4 linked regions of the Drosophila melanogaster genome follow. The protein of the gene in region 3 interacts with the protein of the main gene of each other region in a pairwise test. Each region holds a gene or a part of one and is shown on either strand. Other genes may lie near its edges. The genes, in order: fax, Cln7, Tsp42Eo and CG15347.

Region 1 (4,771 bases), on a different chromosome or scaffold from region 3:
CATCAGAGCGAAAAAGCAGGCCATGCCAAAGCAAACCCTATATACTGCCATGTAACCAAGTGCATACTCGCAGTCGACTTGCAGAGATCCTCCCGAGACAGCGCTGAGTGCTCCCGAGCTATACGACGAGGTGGAGTTGATGCAGAAGGGCATCTTCTTCAGGGTGTCCTGCAGTCCAGGGGACAGCGCAATCGCCCCCAGTACGGTGCCCACCAGGAGGATGAAGGCGTACATGAAGCGCGATGAGGAGGCGTTGGTGCAGCTCGGGCAGGCGGAGCAGCACATGCTGGCTGCAGTGCCTCCACAGCACATGGCGCACTGGAAATGCAAGAATTAAGTATTAAATGGAGACGCAATTGAAGAATTATTCTATTTGATCCAACTTGCTAATAAGTTTTGTCAATAATCCGGATTAATTGAATGATCAACCATCGAAAGTTAAGTTTGCAATACATTTTTCATATTGTTTTCAACTTATTAAAAATTTAAAAATTCATTAAAGTATCTAATAGCTCAAATTGCAAGCTAAATCTTTCTTTTAGATGAAAATCATAGCAGCATTCATGAGTATTGTGAAATTAATAAAATGTTGAATTTCTCCGCATTTGAAACATATGTCTGCTTTTATTGATTTGTAGCCAATGTAAAGAATTTTACCTGGCTAATTAGCTCGCAATTTTCTTACCTGAGCGGCTGAACAGATGCCCAAAGCAGCTCCCATTGTTGCAGCAATAAACTTAGATTTTTACTTTAGTCAAACTGCGTTTTTATTAAATTAAACAAATCTTTGTTTGTGAAAATGATAGAGATGGACTATTTACTGCCTATAGTGACTATCGAATACAGCGGCTGGCGATATTTTTCAGCAATCGTAAGCAGTTGTAAATTTAAAAGTAAATGGGATCAATTCTTTCGCATATTTGCATTTTAAAAATGCTCTTTCAATGTCTTAAATTTTTCAATATGTTTCAAATTTTAAAATTTATAGTTTTAAAATTGAAGTAAATTACTGCAATTTTCTGTACTTCCACAGTTGCCATGCTGATTTCTGCAAAAGTCGGGAGGTGCCATCCGTTCCCTATTCAAATTTCAAAACTTCTGCCACTCCCTCCCAGATGGCGCTTTGCAGTTTCTCAAAACAAAATAGTTTGTCTCCTAAAATAAACTAACAAACGTTATAAATAAACATAAAACATTATTGAAAGCTGAATGAGAGAGAAAGTTCAGATCAATTTTTGTGAATTAAATCATAAACTAATATTATATTTTGAATTAACTTAACTATTGTAACAGTTATTGATAGAGTCGAAATAGGTAATACAGAAAAAGGTTCTATTGATAGTAGTTTTAAAAGGGTATCTGTTCAGTCAACCAGCTAATATTACCGCTCATAAATCTTTAAATGTGTACATAAATGGAGATGTTCTTAATTTTAATAAATCTAGTCGCGAAACTCGAAACTTTACCTAAGGATCGAGAAAACATTTGTTCATAAATTGAGCGTAAGCATAATGGAATATTATTTAAAAAGTTACTTAATATCATTCTTTACTTGTGTTATAAATTAGTTGCTTATAATTTAGGTTGACTCCACAATTTTAAAATTTTTACTCATATAAGTTTTTATAAAATCTATTCCTTGATCTTAATTTCCAGTCACTGGAAGTGGGTTATTTTTAGTGCATCTGCACTCGGCCGATTGCATTCGAGAATACGTTCGCACGCGGCATCTGGCCACACTGCCTGCAACGCTAGCTCGCCTTCGCAACGCGAATCCGCTCATTTCAAATTTTCAAACTCCCGAGAGCGGTTGCGGCGGTGTCGAGACAGCGGCTCCTGAATCCATCCGAATCCGAAAGCGAATCGCATCCAGCCAAGATATCCTATCGTGCAGCTGAAACCCGAAACCCGAATCCGAGTTCGAAACGAAACGAATCGCAGTGGTGGTTTCTCTCTCGCTCTCTAGCTCTCCCTCTCTCTCGCGTGTGTGTATGTGTGCGAGTGGCAGGAAAAGTGCGAAGCCGAAATCTTTTTAGCTGAAAGAAAGCGCAACTTCAATTAGCGAAAAGCAAGAGTAGCTAACAAAAAGAAAAGCGGATCGAAAAGTAAAGAAAAACAAAAAAAAAAAACAAAAGCAACAAATCGAAATGGCAAGCGAAGTGGCCCAAATACCCGCCGAGGAAACGCCCGCAGTGGCGGCGGCGGAAAAATCAGAGGAGCCGGAAAAGTCAGCGGCCCCGCCAGCGGACTCAGCGGCCGCTCCAGCTGCCGCCCCCGCAGTGGAGAAGGCTGAGGATGCCGATGGCGAGAAGAAGGACGGCGAGGCCGGAAAGCAGGACAAGCAGCAGGATGGCGAGGAGCCCAAAAAGGACGAGGCGGTGGCAGCACCCGTGGCGACCAAATCGGAAGCCCCGCCCGCCCAGAAATTCAATGTGCACAAGACCAACTTCGAGAAGGACATCATCTATCTGTACCAGTTCTCGCGCACCCCACTGCTGCCCTCCCTGTCGCCCTACTGCCTGAAGGTGGAGACCTGGCTGCGTCTTGTGGGCCTGAAATACGAGGTGAGTGGTGGTCATAAATCCGGGGAAAAAAACCATAGAAAATTCATGAAAACCTCATTATAAATCGAGCCATCATTTGGCATCCTTCAAAGTACCCAGGATAATTAGGGAAAACCCAAAAACGGACTAGGTAGAATCCCAGGAAGAGCCGAAAACTCTCAGATATTCCAGAAATCCCAGATTTTCAAGGCATTTTTGCGGTACAGATTTTTTCCCAGCTCCTGCGGGAGAGAGCGAGAGAGCTCGGGGAAGAGAGCCAGCGCCGCCATCATGGTGTGCTGCTAAGCCTGCCCGTGTGCATGTGTGTGTGTGACCTGCCCTGCCCCGTAACTGAAAAGGGATACATTTGTGCCGCCTTCCCTCTCTCTCCCAGCGCCCATGCCTGTGTGTGTGAACCTGTAGCCTGGTCCTTTGCGCGTGTGTGTGTGCACAGCGTATACATAAAATTTGTGTGTGCGCCGACGCCGCCCCTCACCCCTTCATCTCTTTGTGCTCCCCTTTGCAAAAGTCGTGCTTCAAATTTTGCACTTGCCGACTCTCTCCTTTTGTCTCGCTCCCTCTCTCGCCGTCTGCTCTTTGTCTTTTGTTGCTGCACTGTTTTTTTTTTATTTCACTTTTCTTTCGACTTCTTTTTGCACTGCACGAAAAGTTGTCATCTCTATGCGCTGCATGCATCTTTTCTTAGCATCTTCGAGATCCATGCAACTGTGCTCTCACTCCATCCACACAACAGCAAATTTTCTCTCTGTATACTTTAGCAGGAGCAGCAGCAGCAGCTTGTAATTGCTTTTAATAAAAATTGATGCAGTTTAAGCTGGACTCAGAAATAGCTGTCTCCCTCTTCGCCTTCCAACTCCCCTTCTCCTTTTCCCTTTCTTTTCTTATCCGTTAAGTAGCTGTAATAGTGTTGGGGGCTGGGTGGGGGGAGTGGCAGACAAACAACTGTCAACGACTTCCAATGGTGCCTTCCATTTTGGCTTGTTGTTTTTTCCTTCACTTTTTAAAGCGCGCGATGCGGTTTGCATATTTTTCATATTTTTTCTGTGCGAGAGGAAAAGCGTGTAGTATGTGGTAGTGGCCGGGGGAGAAATGGGTGCGGTCACCCGCACAAAAACTGGCGACGCAATTGCTGTTTAATCTTATTAATTACATTGGTTAATGAAAAACGAGCCCCTTGCGCGGAATGTTAATTGATGCCGTCGCCTTCCAGATGCCGATAAGCAATCGCCCCCATATGTTGCATTCCACGAAGCAATTATGATTGACAGTCCGTCAGTGGCCGCTTTTCGGCCCGCAGCTGGAAATTACTTTCCATTTTCACGATTATTCCCAATTCCACTGATAAGGCGCAGGCTGCCCAAAATACGGCGGCATTCGATTAGTAGGAAGGAGGGAGTGGGGGGTGGGTAAAAAAAAGAGTTCAACAAACTGGGGACCTTTGACATTTCTGGCATGGTTTGTTGTTGCTGCAGCGCGGCATTAATCATGGAAAAAAAGGGAGGGTGACTGACTGTAAATGCAACTGACTAAGCCAGTTTTCCCCCCTGCTGCTTGCGCTCGGCTGCATTTCTTGCCTGCTCTCCTCCTTTGTGTACACACATTCGTCAGTGTAAACAAGAGCAGAAGTTGTTTCTTTATTGATGATAAACCGAATGCATATTTTTTTCACACCACATTGAAGGCGGCGCCCATTAATAAGCACAGCAGCAACAACAACAACAACTGGGCATAAGTTTCGCTTTTGAGGCGGTGGCCCGCATTGCTAGCATTCCTGAGTGTCGCGCTCGTAGATTGTGCAATTAATTTACATTTTCTCTGCCATATGCATTGCGGGCACAGAGCGATTAAAATTCAAATGGAAATGCTGGCGCGCCATTGCATTTGTGCAATATTGCCGGGCTGCAATTTCAAGGTATTCTGGCAACGCTGCTGCCTCTCCTGCTGCAACTGTACATGTGCGAATGTGTGCGTATCGTATGTCCATGTGTGCGTGTGTGTGTATGTTGGGAGGAAATGGAGTTTTTTTGCTTCTCGTTTTTGTATTTTTTACGTTTTATAGCTGCCTTTGTTTTAATTAATAAACCGCATATTTGCATTTAAACAACACACAGTGGACGGCCTTTGTTGTTGCTCACTCGCTCCAGTGCAATTCTCCCGCTCTCGCTCTCTCTCTCTGGAACTTCTGTGCAAGGGTGTGGATACACTCA
Region 2 (5,390 bases), on a different chromosome or scaffold from region 3:
TACTGAGTGCATTCGCACCATGCAGATGAATGCCAAGACGTTGAATCTACCATTCGAAATCGTCATCCAGGGACCGAGCAGCAATCGCTTTGTGCGCAACGCACAGCAGTTCGAGCAGAAGCGAGATCTGGTGGCCAGGAGCGCCAGCACTTCAATGCAGTCGCCTCGAAATCGTCGCTCAAACATAACCATCTACAAGCCCTCCACAAAGTTGGTCATTCAACGTACGGCCAATGGCTTAGAAACGCCATCCAAGGCTTCGGAGCAGATAAGGCACAAGAGGTCCGTCGATCACCTGGAGTGGTTCAATGACTTTGCCAGTTCCTTGGTGCGTCCCTCGCCACTGGGCACTAGAGCCCAGAAGCAGCAGCGTGCATCAGCCAAGCCATCGGCATTCAAGCGTCAGGCTGAGCTGGAGGAGCCGGCTCGTCGGGAACCATGGTTCCTGGAGCAGTCAGCTTCGCGACTGACTCGCCCCGCTCCACTTAAGAAGGATGCACTCTCGCGGAAGAACAAGAAGAGTCCTTTGTTCCGAAAGAGCGCCAAGAGCAAGGCGTCCAAGGAGCAGTCGCGCAAGCAACCGGAGCGAGAGATTCGGCCACTCCGCGATGCCTTGCAGGTGGTGGAGCGGATACCCAAGGTGCTTCAAGATACGGTCAGTCATCTGTCCTCCGATCCACGCACTGGGGATGTCTTTAGCCTGAATATTAGAAACGAGGATGTGCCGCAGAAAAAGGATCGCCAGCCTGAGGATCGTGTGCCACGCAGGCCTAGCGCCACCTTCCGTGGTTTCCGGCGCAATGAGATCATCCCCGAAGCCGTCACCCTGGCTGCCCCAATGGACCTTGCCCCACGAGCTCCACTTCCCGGCCAGCGTCCAGGTGGACTCCTGCTGCCCTGGCTGAGGCAGCGGCGACTGATGCGTTTGCAGCAGGCACAGGGAAATCTGTAGACCCAACATACCCAATTTACTTTCACTTTTATTATTATAATCATTTGTTGTATATTTATAAGGCATTTTGGTCTCTCAAAAATAAATATAAATTTGCACATTATAGTGTTCTGCAGTAGCAGCGAAGATAGAAGCGTTCGAAATTAAAGTATCTGAAGTAGTAAGATCTTTATGTACCTGTAACAATATGAAGGCGTTCTTAAAGATCGTTTTCCAATGAGTCATTATAGTATTCACACACGCAGGTAGAAGTTTGGTAGGTTAGACAGGTTTCTATAGAACTCCATTCTTCAGTTTCCCTATTATTTCAATTGGATCTCGAATCGAATCTCAAAGATACATCTATTCTACTGATGATCTAGTATAATAATGATAATTTGAAGAAGGAGTATTGGTGTTACATGGATTGTGGATTGATAACAAGTTACTATACTATGCTTAGGAATATTTTGCCTGAATAGAAAACCCTTGCGATCTATCTTACAGATGCCATAGATTTCGGAGTATCTAAGTAGCATACTTTCGGGCGCGGGTGCTATCTGCCGTTGGCTCCTCTCTCTCTTCGGGCAGCTCCATCACGCTCTGTGGCGACGCGTCGTCCGATTTGTTGGCAACAGGCGCTGCCGCGTCAGTTCAGTTCAGTCCGTCGCGTTCGTTCATCTCCAGTGGTCGTCGCTGTTCCGCTGCAACAGGTAGTTAAAAAGACATAGCCCGATTGGTAAAAGGTGCATTACCCGCTGGAAGCCCCACAAATAGGATGCGCGCGGTAGGGGGGTGCCCTTGAGTTCTAGATGCACAGAAAGATACATGCACGCAGATACAGATACAGATACAGATATAGCCATTGGCAGAGGGAGAAAAGCGCTTTCTTTGCGTTTGGTTAAATATTACAAAAATCGAGTGAGAGGAAGCGGGAGAGCGAGAGTGAGACAAAGAAAGAGTAATTTAAAAAAAAACAAAGAGTGCATGTTTCCATTTAATTTACATAGTTTTGCTTCAGTGTGTGACGAAAAACAAAATACAACTTAGTAAGCTAAGTAATTTGAAAATCAAAGCAAGGAGTGCAAAGGCAAAGTAGCTTAACGAAAAAAACAATAGGCAGCCAAAGATCAACGGTCGCTATCTCATATCTAGTATCTTGTATCTGAAAGATGTGTGTGTGTGTGTTTGGGTACTTCGAGAACGAGAATCTGGCGCTCAACTAAAAAAAAAAAGAAAAAAAAAAAACCAACTGCATCAATTGGCAATTGGTATAATCAATTAGAAATTGATTTGCGACGGAGTGATCTTCAACCAGTGATGATTTGATTGATGTAGGAAGTGGACAAGTCTGATTGATATGGCTAATCGCTGCACTTGTTGCACTATCGAAAACTAAAGTTATAACAAAATGTTTTTATTTCGTACCCTGTACTGGGGCGAATCAATTTCTTTTGCTCTGATAAATGAAATCATGTAATAAACTGACGTTCTGTACGAACCTTATCATGCCATATAAACAAAAACAATGGCATACTCACAGTGATAGTGGCTCTTACTAAAGAAAAACGACATACAGACACCCGCACATGGCAACGAATAACTACAAACAGCTTTATTTCGGCACCGATTGCCTTTATCTTCCGCAATTTGTGTGATAAGTTCAGCAAACTGTTTTCCATATCTGTGGTTTTTTCGGAGGAGGATAATCACGCGACGTCTGGCAGATAATCCACTCCATCCATATTCAAGTAATTGAAGGCACCGCCGATTAGAGACATACTCTACTCTGAATCATTAATAGTTACAAGACTTTAAAAGCGTGTCTAACAACTGACACATCGATTCACAAAAAGCTCCATAAAGAAAAAAAAAACTCATTCGAATCCATTTACAGAATGACTCAGTGGCGGTGAAATCCAGCAAACACACATCCATCGCAGCCAACCAACCCATCAAACATCACAGCCAAGCAAACCAATTATGGAGTTTGCCCGCCGAGTTTCCGCTCGCTTTGAAACCAAAAGACTGCCGGAGGATGTGGACGATGGCCTGGAGACGCTGGAGGAGTACAAGCAGCGCTGGCGCTCCGTCCGCATCATCTACTTTACGATGTTTCTGATGGCGCTTGGCTTCAGCATCATACTCACAGGCATTTGGCCCTACCTCAACAAGGTGCGTACCCATTTTGGTCACGCTATCCAGCTGCTTTTCAATCTCATCTCTCTTCAGCTAGATCCCGATGCGGGCAAGGAGTTTATGGGACTGATTGTGGCCGCCAATCCGCTGGGACAAATGATCTTCAGTCCGATCTTTGGGTGGTGGGGCAACAAGCTGGGCAAGATTCGTCTGCCACTGCTGCTATCGCTGTCTCTATTCACGCTGGCCAGTGGCATATACTCCTCGCTGGAACTGCGTCCGGACAATGTGAAGTACTGGATGCTCTCCTCGCGGTTCCTCATCGGTGTCAGCTCGGCGAATATTGCCCTGTGCCGCTCCTATTTGTCCGCTGCGACACGAATCAGCGAACGCACACATGCCGTTGCAATGGTTTCGCTGGCACAGGTCCTTGGATTCATCATTGGTCCAACTCTGCAGGCGGCAGTCACACCGCTGGGAGATCAGGGACACGTCTGGCTGTGGGGCAAGATGCACTTCAACATGTACACGGCATCCGGATGGATCAATGTGCTGATGAGCATTGGAAACTTCATGATGTTCCTGCCCGGAGTGTTTGAGGTGAGTGGCCAGGTTACTTGGTTCGCTCTAAAGTGTCATTAAATTTGAACACTCCTTCAGGAGCACAAAATTGCAGCTCGCGAGGTGATGGTGATGCAGGGCGGCACATCCGAGAAGGAGACTTGGAAAGGCATCAAGCCCAGCTATTTATCCGCATGGACTTTGATCGTCGCCTTCTTTGTTCTGGTATTCAACTTTGTGCTGTTGGAGACGTGAGTAATCCTCAGAGTGGGTTTTTTTTTTTTTAAACTATTGCTTCCTCGCCTTGCAGTCTGGGCACATCCCTGACAATGGATATGTTCGCTTGGTCCAACGACGAGGCCCTATGGTACATGGGCATCATGATGACCACCGCAGCTATTGTCTCCCTGGTCACGTTCGTTTTGATTGAGCCCATGTGCAAGATTATAGCCGAGCGTTATGTGCTCATCTGGGGCGGATTCTCGCTGATGTTTCTCGGTCGCGTGCTCTTCGTGCCTTGGGGTCCGGATCCGCCAAAGTTGGCGCAGCCATTCAATGCCAGCTGGAACCTAAGCGAAAGCGATCCCATCTTCTTGGGCTGCCCCACAACGCAGAAATGGTGCGGCGAACTGCCGGCCTTGACCTTAACGCAGTTCATCATTGGATTTGCCTTCACATCGATAGGATATCCCATTGGGGTGACTCTCATCCAGACCATATTCTCCAAAGTTCTGGGACCTCGGCCGCAGGGCGTCTGGATGGGCTGGATGACCGGTTCGGGTTGTCTGTCCCGCGTCCTTGGTCCAGTCTTCGTGGGATCCATCTACACGCGCCTAGGTACGTTCTGGACCTTCGGCGTTACTTCGGCCATGATGCTGGTCTCCATGTTTTGGCTACAGTGCAGCAAGTAAGCTGAAATACTATTCGTTTTTAAGGCGGTTCCCCACAATAAATAACATGTTATCTTTTCAGTCGATTACTAATCCCGCCAACATTCGAAAAGACCACACCTGTCGAGCTGAAAGAACTGAACAAGCACAATGGTAGCAAGCTGCTGGACGACCACTCACCGGACACGCACAATGGTAGCCCACCGGAAGATCTGTCTCCTGATCAGCCCATTTTGGGCAAGCACGGCAGCCAGCACTCGATTTCACATGCGTAACGACGGCTGGCTATGGAGCATCCGTAGATCTAAGACACATCGTTGCAATACTGCCCCTTAAACTAGCTTTAAAATACAGTGTTTATTTTTGCACAGTTTCGACTGATTATGCGTTTATTGGTACTACGGTTGAATGTGTAGAGGTTGCACGTCGTTGTCTAGTTCTTTTTTTTTTTTGGCGTGTTTTGCATATAGGGAGGATGCTTAAACACGTATTTCCATCTTCTTGTTTAAGTGTACGAGTAATGGTTAGTTTGGGTTTAGTAACATGTATGTGGTTTACCAAGGCGGCAGCCACAGTTGTGAAATTGTCGTCGGCATCAGCATGTGCTGCTGGTGTGCTTGGTGGTGATGGTAGTAGGCCGCCGCTGGCGACCAGCAGAGCAGCCAGCAGTCCACAGGCGCCGTTCTTCGATTGCTGGTCGTGTGGTAGAATGTGTGACCCATTGGCAGGGGCATGGGTAGTGCAACCGCTACTCAGCTGCTGCCGTGATAGTAAAACTCATCTCAGTAGGGCGCATATCTGCGACCCGGCGGCGATGGACCGCGCATTCCGCGCGACGAAATCATGCGTTCGTCGAATGCATCGCGACT
Region 3 (4,409 bases):
GTGGCGGAACCCACTAACTGGCGCTTTCGGGGGCGCCACATTTCAAATGGAAAGCGTTGCGCTCAGTCGCACGTCAACCTCTATGCCAATAGGGCTGGCGGATTTCATTGGGTCTTCGCTTCTCCGGTGGTCGACGCTTCGGGTCAAGTGCGCAGCGGAAAATTGGTGCGGGAACAAGGATAAACGCACCTTCGTGGTTAATTATAGGGATTATTGATTGGCAACATGGACTGCCGCACATCGTTCCTGAAAGCCGTTCTTATCGTTCTCAATGTGCTGCTATCGGTGCGTATGAGTGACGTTGGAGCCAATTGGGCACTAGCCAACGGACCTAATGTGACTTTATTGGCAGCTGATTGGAGTGACGTTGATTGCTCTGTCCGTGTACGAGCTGAACAGCTCCACGCCGGGCACCTTCGAGCACATCGCCATCGTTGTCCAGATCTTCGTGGGCACCTTCGTGGTCCTGACCTCGTTTCTGGGCTGCTTTGCCACCGCTCGGGTTTCCCTGGGACTGGTTTGGAGCGTAAGTGAAGCCTTCAATTGATACATCAACTAAATTCACATAATATTTATATGTCCTCCGGTAGTATGTGATCTGCCTGCTGATCCTGCTGTGCCTGCAGATTTATATTATCGCGGCAGCCCACTCCACGGACTACGTGGAGCGATCCAAGAAGGATTTCCTGGCCACCTGGGCTGATCAAAGGACCAATGTGGAGCGCATATCGCTCCTTGAGCAAAAGGTAAGTCCAATACTTGGGATTAGTATATTGCTATTTGCGGGTCATCACGACCAATTTCATTCCTTCCCAGTACTCCTGCTGCGGCCAGTTGGGCGCCCATGACTACATCCTGATGGGACGGGGTATACCCTTGAGCTGCTACAAGGATCAGGAGCGGCGCGAGTACAGCCTCTTCTCCGGGGGCTGCCTGCAGGCCGTGCAGGCGCATGCCACGGACAACGTGGCCATCGGACTCATCATCAAGTGGCTGCTGCTTCTGGTGGAGGTATGTAGATTCCATGCCGGCCTTGGCCACATATTTCCGAGGGCTTGGCTGGCCAAGGGCGGTGCATAAATAGATGCCACACTCAGACGCTGGGCTCTAATCGAATTTTCCGTTCTCTCCACACAGTTCGCCGCCCTGGGAGCCGCAACCCACTTGGGCATCACGGTGCGCAATAAATTGCGGCGCGAAAGATTCTAACAGGTCGCTTGGAATCATCGAAATCGGGTGTTGGCAACGCATAATCCGATATCTATGGATTTTTATAGCAGTTTAAGATGATCTGGAGGCAACAGAAGCGTAGAATAAAAAATAAACCAAAATCATAATATTCAATAAGTGTTGTTTGTGCCCACTATATGCGGAATTTCGGCGGGCCTGCTAAGTAGATGTATGTTGCCTATAAAGATGCGTATAAAAATATACGAAAACATTGGGTGCACTCAAAGAATATCTTCTACATATGAAAAGAATTCCGTTTTAAAAGAAAAATAACTATAATAGGCTCTAGGCATTCGATTTTTCGACTATGAGATACCCCTTCCACAGCTAATGGGAGTACGAGGAGATATGCTATACGACAGTAACATATATATACTGATAATTTCACCCGATCTGCTAGAAGATTCTTGACCTGTTGTTAAGTTAAGTTACCCATTTCTATTGAAATAAAAATATCTAGTACAATCACTGGGTAAATTTCGGTCAGTTATTTAAACTTATTTCAAAGTTATAAGGCATCTATACAATAAATCTTAAATTTTTATAGGCGTAATTATAATGTGTTTCTCTCAGTGTCGGGCGGATGGGGCGGGGTGCCATTGAGGTCTGGTGAACGCCGGTCTCCTGAGTAACGACCGGCACACGAAACGCCGAAACGGAGACCGAGACGGACACGGATGCGGACACGGACGGCCACTCGGCGGATTTGTAAACAGTTCGCAGCTTCTTAGCGCTTTTTCGGGTCTTGCTTTATTTTGGCCCCGACCGATGTCCGACGGCACTAACGGTTCGGTCACCGCCACGCACAGACGGTCGAGAGTGGAAAGCGAATTTTCCCGGGAAACGCGTCCGCTGCCTGGAGTCGCTGCTCGGATGAGCGCTGAATAAGATTGATCAAAAATAAAGAAACAGAAAAAACTGCATCGCAAGTAAAAAATGCCCACGGTTCGCGTGTGCCTACAATGGACCTCGGTTGTCTTCAGTACGCTGACGTTGGTAAGGAGGATATCTTGTGGGAAAACGCGTTAGTATTACGCATCATTAGCCGACATAAACTTTCCATGATCGCCACTGGGAAACGCAAGCCACAGGCCAAGCATTTATTCATTGTCACTGTTCCTTGATAATTTCAGTGCAACTGTTCTTGAGTCACACACTGCGTATGAGTAATAAAAGCACTTGCTGATGGAAATCACGATTCAAAATTAACTCGCCGCTGGCAGTCTGTCAAAGCACGATCATAAAGTGTCTTTCATTCTTGTCCATTTTTCATTGCCGCTTGTAATTTCTTACTGGACGGGCCGAGTAGCTGGCCAATTTGGCAGCAAACAAATCTCATTCAAAATTTCCATTTCCACCAGACAAGATGTCACTTGGCGGCTCTCGTTCTGCCCACTTTTGTTGGCCAGTCGCATTTTCGGCACAATCGAAGCGACAGCAACAAGAAAGGAAACTGTGTATGTGCCATTTAAAAATAAAGCCCAAAGTAATTTAATTTATTTTTGCGCCCGGTTTGTTTTTATTTTGGTTGTTCTCGCTACCCGATGACGTATCCCACGAGCCGAAAGTTTGTCTCTGAAGATTTTGTTTGCCCATTTCATGGGCCATTAACAAACGCTTAATGTGCGCAGGCATAATTCATAATTTTAATACCGATCCAGATCGTCGGCGTCCTTGCGGCCCTGGCCGGCGTCTATGAGCTGGATAAGTTCAACGAGGGCTCTGCGGAGCACACAGAGAAGTTCGTCCAACTGGGAATGGCAGGTGCTCTGATCTTGGCCGGACTGGTCGGTTGCCTGGGTGCCATATTCGGTTCCATCAAGGTGATGGTGGTGGTAAGTAGCCAGAACAGATGGTTTGTCGATTGATGAGCACTTCCAATGCCTCGGCTTTTAGAACTTGATTCTGCTTCTGGCTCTGATAGCCTCGCACATCTGGAAGGTGTCCCACTACAATGAGACCAAACAGCTGGACGCCACTGAGGTGTACGTGATGGATCTCTGGATGAAGGAGCTGGTCCATCACGGCGCCATGCAAGACTTGCAGCAGGAGGTGGGTCCTTCCCCAGAGCGATCATGCTACGATCCTTAAATGCCCTCTTTCCCCTTTTCCAGTACGAGTGCTGTGGCGACAAGGGATTCTCCGACTACACGAGCCTCAACATGAAGGTGCCTCGCAGCTGTTTCCACACCAAGGACGGCATTCACGCCTTGTATCCGTATGGGGAGGGCTGCATGGCTGCCGTGAAGCGGGCTTATCTGCAGATCTACCGATACGAGAAATGGGTCCACTGCGGACTTATTGGCTACGAGGTGGGCAAAGCTTTCAGACCTGCAAGACTTATTAGCAAAATGTAGCTATGATATATGTACATTTGAAAATGGAAAGCTATTAACCTCGAATTTGCAAGTCTCTAGTAGCACTTGTCGAACAAAATGATTGAGAACTGACAGGCATTAAATGTTTAATGCAACACTTTGTTTCTTTTATTACAGGTCGTAGGCATCATCTTGGGTATCACCTTGTGCTGCCAGCTGACCAACAAGACTCGTCGCTACACCTACTAACCACGAATGACATTTATAGATAAGCACTTGCCACTTGGATAAATAATAAACCAAAGTTTTCATAAGATCTTAATGGTAGCTCAGGCGTCGTTCAGTAGGTGCGCACGAGAGGCGGACACATGGTTGGAGCGCGGTTCCCGCCGCACACCTGGCGGCACCTGTCTTCGTGCGATGCGCTGCCGCTGTCGTAGTCGAAAGAGCAGCACACTCAGCGCCACAGTTTGCAGCAGTATGAAGATCTGCGGCGAGTGAAGAGATGGATGATTATTCGAGAAACTGCACTTCAGCCGCAAGTCAATTTCCCACCTCAAGGCCAACGATGGCCCACATGTAGAGCTTATCGCGGTGCTGGATGTACCGCTGGCTGCGGTTCAACGTCTCGAGGCAGCCGCTTGGATAGATCTGCTGGGCGGTGTCATTAACAGCGGCCTGATAACAACTCGCCGGCACCAGCAGATGCAGGCGCTTGTAATCGTCGGCACCATTGTAGCCGCAGCAGTGCTGGGAGGCCTCGTACTGGTGCATGAGCTCGGGGTCTCTGTCCAGGCCATGCCAAGCTAATTCCAGTTGCTGCCAGGCGCCACCCGGGCTCCTGAGGGACGGACTGTGATA
Region 4 (4,543 bases), on a different chromosome or scaffold from region 3:
CTCCTCTGTGTACTCCACGCCATCGGGCACGTACATAATGGAATTCATGTTGGTGTAGTTCCAGGTTTCGATCTTTCTCAGCGGATCTGGCTCCTCGAATTGCGTTTCTATGCTGGGCAGCATTAGGGCCCGCTGCAGTTGCTCTGCGGAGAGCTTCTCATGGTTGTACAGTACTGCGTATTTTTGGCGCAGCTTGGCCTCGGCCGTTTCGATGATCTCCTGAAAGCTCTGGTTATCCTCGCTGGTGTACTTCTGCAGAAAGGCGTCCAGCGATAGCTTCGCGGTGGTGTCCCTGCCCTCGGCATCGCTCTTCTCGGAGCCGTCCGTGGAAAATGGTGTGTCTGTGGCCCGGGAATTTGGCAATGGGGTGTTGCTACATTTCGCCTGACTCACTGGTGTCTCAAATGTGGCCGGGGACATGGCTGAAATGAAGGAATTCAAAAAGTTAATGGGTCTATCTATTGAACTTGGCCAATGTATAATTTCATCAGACTTGATTTCAAGTAAGATAGTAGCAGACAGCGATGTGCCAGTGGTGTTCATCCAATTGAGTACAATACCCACCATTATTCCGTCGGCTGGTGCTTCTTCCTGTCCCGGAAATCCTGCCCAGACTGTAGCGCTCCCGAATCTCGGCCATTTGTACAAAGTCGCGCCGTGACTCCGCGTCCAGGTAGTCGTTTTGGGCACGCAGCCGCTCCAGATCGGGAAAGAAGTCGCGCTGGATGATCTTAGACATCTCCTCGATGTACTTCTCCTCGGTAAGGATCTTTGGCTTGTTCTTGTGGCGCACCATCGCCGTGGGCTTTTTAAACTCGGCGAGTGCTGAATTCTGGACGCGGGCCACTTCCATGGCCAGGCTGCCGGGAGTGCCAGGTGTCCCCGGTGTGGCAGGTGTTCTAGTCGTGGCGCTCATTGCCGTTTATATCTCGCTTTTTTCGTAAATAACTTTGTTTTGTTTAGATATAAAAAGTGAATATTTTTGTCTGCCAGCAAAGTGTGACCGTTTTAAGTTTCACTCAGAATAACAAAACGTCGGTTCAAAATATTTCCCTGTATTTTTTTTTAATTCTCGGATGTAAAAGGTGAAATTAATCAGCTTAAAAGTTTCGACTTCCTTTACAATAAATTGGTGAGTATGAACCAATTTAAATTTAAATAGAAACAAAATGATATTTTGCTAAACTATATTAATTAAAAACTCTGGCAAGGAGTACTTATCGACGTGTTATCGATAAGTGTGGAACGCATTCAAATGCGCGCTAGCATTTGAATTGAAATTTTAATGCGATTAGCTAGCACTTGAAAATGAAATTTATTACGATTTTGCAAACATTAAAGATATATTTTTAAAACATCTGGAAGTTTCGCAAGTGCGCTGACTAACCCGCTGAACATAATTTATGAAAATGAATGTATGCCAAAGAGCGACAACTTTAGCGTCGTGAATCATTTCAAAACACTTTTTTTTCTCAACTCACCAATAGAATTACTGTTGTCGTGGTGCCTTATCGTAAAGCTGTAGGTATATATGAATAGGGTATAAAGCTCGGCAAAACTCAAATCACTCATTGAACCTTTTCTACTCCCTTAGTTCTGGTTCAGCTCCGTAACCAGTCGCAACATTCGATCGTCGTGAAATTAGTTACATCAGTTATCAGCCATGAAGTTTTACCTGTTGGTGATTGCAGCCCTCTCGTTTTTGGCCTACATCAGTTGTGGTAAATGTTGTACCTGCCTAAATGTTGTTCCAAAATAAGTTTCACTTTTAATTTTCATCGGGATCGTATTTTTTTTTTTTTAATTTTCTTTTTGCTCTTTGAATTGAAAAACTTATTGAGTGTTTTATATAAGGTGTGATAAGCGGTGATATCATGGACACGGAAATAAATTCATGATAAGCTATCAATAGGCGAGTTTCCAAAGAAACTTTTAAAGGTTCTTAGCTTTGTAACTGGGCAAACATATTCTTTTTTTTCTAAGTGTGAGTGAGCCAGCAAAAAGATGTGAAAATTGTACGCCATATATTTAAACCATGTGTACATACAGCTGTGTTCAAAAAAATAGCAGTGCAAGAGAAACTAAGAAATGCGACGGTTTTTTTTTCATGTTTCGGGATCGAATTTTTATTCCACTTATTTTTGTGAATTGGAATGTGTAGATAGGGAAAAAAAGAAAATGTCGTTAGTTTTCTATGCTATCCTTTTTTTTATTTACATTCTTGAGCAAAATCACAACTTTTAGGCTGTTCAACAGAATAGCAGTGTCTGGTTTTGACCAACGTAAACTCCCGAAATGATCAATATTTTCTAAAAAGTGAGTTTGAATTTGAATTTGAATTTGTATATTTAAAAGGGCAATAAATTAAAAAAATAAAAAATAAAGAAACGCAGAAGCAAATCGGCTAAGAATAAGTTCGTTCTAAGTCAAGTTGAATTTTGTTACTATTTTTTCATAGCACTGCTATTTCTGCTTGTTTTAATCTATATTTTCGAAACTATTAAAAAAATGAATGTGAAACATTTGTTGAATTGTTTAAAATTAAATACCTAATGATATTATAAAAAAAATTTTCCCATTAAAACTTGAAATCTTAAGATTTTTTTATTTTAAACTCAAGCACTGCTATTTTTATGAACACAGCTGTATGTCAGCGGTAATTTAATTTCTCTTTGTGATGAAGTACATAGTTATTCCGTTTCATTATTAAAGTTGAAACATAATCTCGTACATTCGTACTTTCATGTAAACACTTGGTAAATATTTAATATTTACTGCCACCTGATATGCTAAATATAATTTGCTTGCAAGCTTTCGATTTATAGCCAATGTAAATTGACTCTTCTTATCAAAAACATACAAGTTTGCTGATTCACTTGTCATGGGCATGTTCGTAAGAATCGATTGTGGAAAATCGAGACAATTGCCATCCGAGTACAGTGCGCGTCATTGTAATAAGGCATGCAGGTAGATACATAAAAAGAAATAATCAAACACATTCAAACACATATGCACTGTGGTAGGTAGGCAGACTTTGCACGAAATCAATATGATGTCATTATGCCAACGCAACGATTACGAAAAACTTGATCTAATCTAATCAGGCATGACTCAATCGAAACGCTCCGTTCCACTCGCTCAATTTGCAGATGGATGCATCCAGTGCAATTCGAAGGACAACGAACGCTGCGCCACAGATCCATTGAGCCTGCTCAATCGCAACTGTTCCGATGGATCCTCCAACTGCTATTCCCGCGTCCTGGGTATGTTATCGCATTGATTACCCTGGCTGCACCATCTAATGGTATCTTTCGCAGATGGCTACACAATTCGCGGCTGTGCCGTCGATCTGGACAACGCCACGCGTAATTCGTGCAACAACGAGCTACTGTGCCAGCTGTGCACCTACAGCGAGGGATGCAATCGAAACACCTTCCCGTTGAGCCGCCTCATGTGCCTACAGTGCACAGGGAACTCGACCTCGTCGTCCTGCGCCACAGAGACCTATGTATCGGCCAAGATCTGCCCGCTGTACAAGTTCGGCGACAAGTGCTACATTCGCAATAGCAATCGCACCGTGGACGGATCCTTCCAGCGCGGCTGTCTCACCTCGGCGAATGCCAGGAAGCAGTGCGTCAAGGATGGCAACTGTTATACGTGCGAGGGACGCGGCTGCAACTTTCTGCTGGCCAATGATACCAACATTCCGCTGGCACGCGACAGCGGTGCCCAGTTGATCATCTCCATGACGCTGCTGATCAGCGGTCTTGTCGCCGCCTGGAGACTCTAAGATGTAACGACGGCCAGAGTCGAATGATGGACGAAAGTCAATCATGCCACAGACCCAGTTCTTTTAGAAATTCCCGTCTTATTATTTTCTACATTCTAAAACATCATTATACATACATACATACACTGGGATGTTACATTTATACTCGTTTATTTCATTACTTTGAACAAAACGTTAATAAAGATAACTAAACTAAAGAAGACAAAAATAGAAATGGTTTAGTTATTACATTTTGGGATTGGGGGATAACCAAAACGTTGCTCACTTTGAACAGTTCTTCATCGTAATGTTTTTTGAAGCAAAAGTAAGCATAAAACTTTAATGCATAAACACAGTGAACACACATTTCACTTTTTACGAGGTGTCAACGGGTTGGCACTGCAGTTGACAACATGCCACTGTGTTTATGAAGTCCCGATTTCAATTGCGATACCCTATACCTCTATTCCTCGATTCCGATCCCAGACCAAGAGAAATCGACGACGAGCCGCAAGTACCGGAGTGGCAGTTGGAAAACCGGAAGCTCTCGGCGCAAATGAGGAGTGCATAAATGTGTCGACGCCTCCGAATGTTTGTCAATTACTTTTCACGGCTCGCTTTTCCGGATGCCATTTTCCATTCGATCGAACTGGATGTGCGGAAATAGATCAGTTTTGTGCATGGTACTCGGCTCCAGCGATTTGTTAACTAAACTAACTATTTATAGGCAACATACGTACGTGGAAATATATATACATATGTACTGTGCGGGTT

Evidence for each region.
Region 1: the proteins of Tsp42Eo (region 3) and fax interact in a two-hybrid assay, tested with the Drosophila melanogaster proteins (one large-scale study listed by BioGRID).
Region 2: the proteins of Tsp42Eo (region 3) and Cln7 interact in a two-hybrid assay, tested with the Drosophila melanogaster proteins (one large-scale study listed by BioGRID).
Region 4: the proteins of Tsp42Eo (region 3) and CG15347 interact in a two-hybrid assay, tested with the Drosophila melanogaster proteins (one large-scale study listed by BioGRID).

The regions. Positions count from the first base shown.
Region 1 is NT_037436.4:16,408,795-16,413,565, reverse strand, and holds the start of fax (failed axon connections), read left to right. Parts: upstream 1-1,737; 5' UTR 1,738-2,147; coding exon 2,148-2,564; intron 2,565-4,771. Other genes in the region: Serinc (serine incorporator), read right to left, coding at 1-318, 686-721. UniProt on the Drosophila melanogaster protein: Together with Abl, involved in embryonic axonal development.
Region 2 is NT_037436.4:7,341,384-7,346,773, reverse strand, and holds Cln7 (Cln7), read left to right. Parts: upstream 1-1,590; 5' UTR 1,591-1,644; intron 1,645-2,389; exon of another isoform or gene 2,390-2,682; intron 2,683-2,828; 5' UTR 2,829-2,914; coding exon 2,915-3,106; intron 3,107-3,163; coding exon 3,164-3,670; intron 3,671-3,730; coding exon 3,731-3,882; intron 3,883-3,941; coding exon 3,942-4,538; intron 4,539-4,603; coding exon 4,604-4,796; 3' UTR 4,797-4,890; downstream 4,891-5,390. Other genes in the region: CG14834 (uncharacterized protein), read left to right, coding at 1-952; lark, read right to left, coding at 5,304-5,390.
Region 3 is NT_033778.4:7,052,711-7,057,119, forward strand, and holds Tsp42Eo (tetraspanin 42Eo), read left to right. Parts: upstream 1-2,006; 5' UTR 2,007-2,166; coding exon 2,167-2,226; exon of another isoform or gene 2,227-2,891; coding exon 2,892-3,065; exon of another isoform or gene 3,066-3,126; coding exon 3,127-3,282; exon of another isoform or gene 3,283-3,344; coding exon 3,345-3,542; exon of another isoform or gene 3,543-3,569; intron 3,570-3,626; exon of another isoform or gene 3,627-3,725; coding exon 3,726-3,797; 3' UTR 3,798-3,866; downstream 3,867-4,409. Other genes in the region: Tsp42En (tetraspanin 42En), read left to right, coding at 226-285, 353-526, 591-746, 817-1,011, 1,138-1,209; Tsp42Ep (tetraspanin 42Ep), read right to left, coding at 3,878-4,036, 4,104-4,409.
Region 4 is NC_004354.4:8,457,944-8,462,486, reverse strand, and holds CG15347 (uncharacterized protein), read left to right. Parts: upstream 1-1,588; 5' UTR 1,589-1,663; coding exon 1,664-1,721; intron 1,722-3,104; coding exon 3,105-3,263; intron 3,264-3,317; coding exon 3,318-3,790; 3' UTR 3,791-3,993; downstream 3,994-4,543. Other genes in the region: Es2, read right to left, coding at 1-422, 565-916.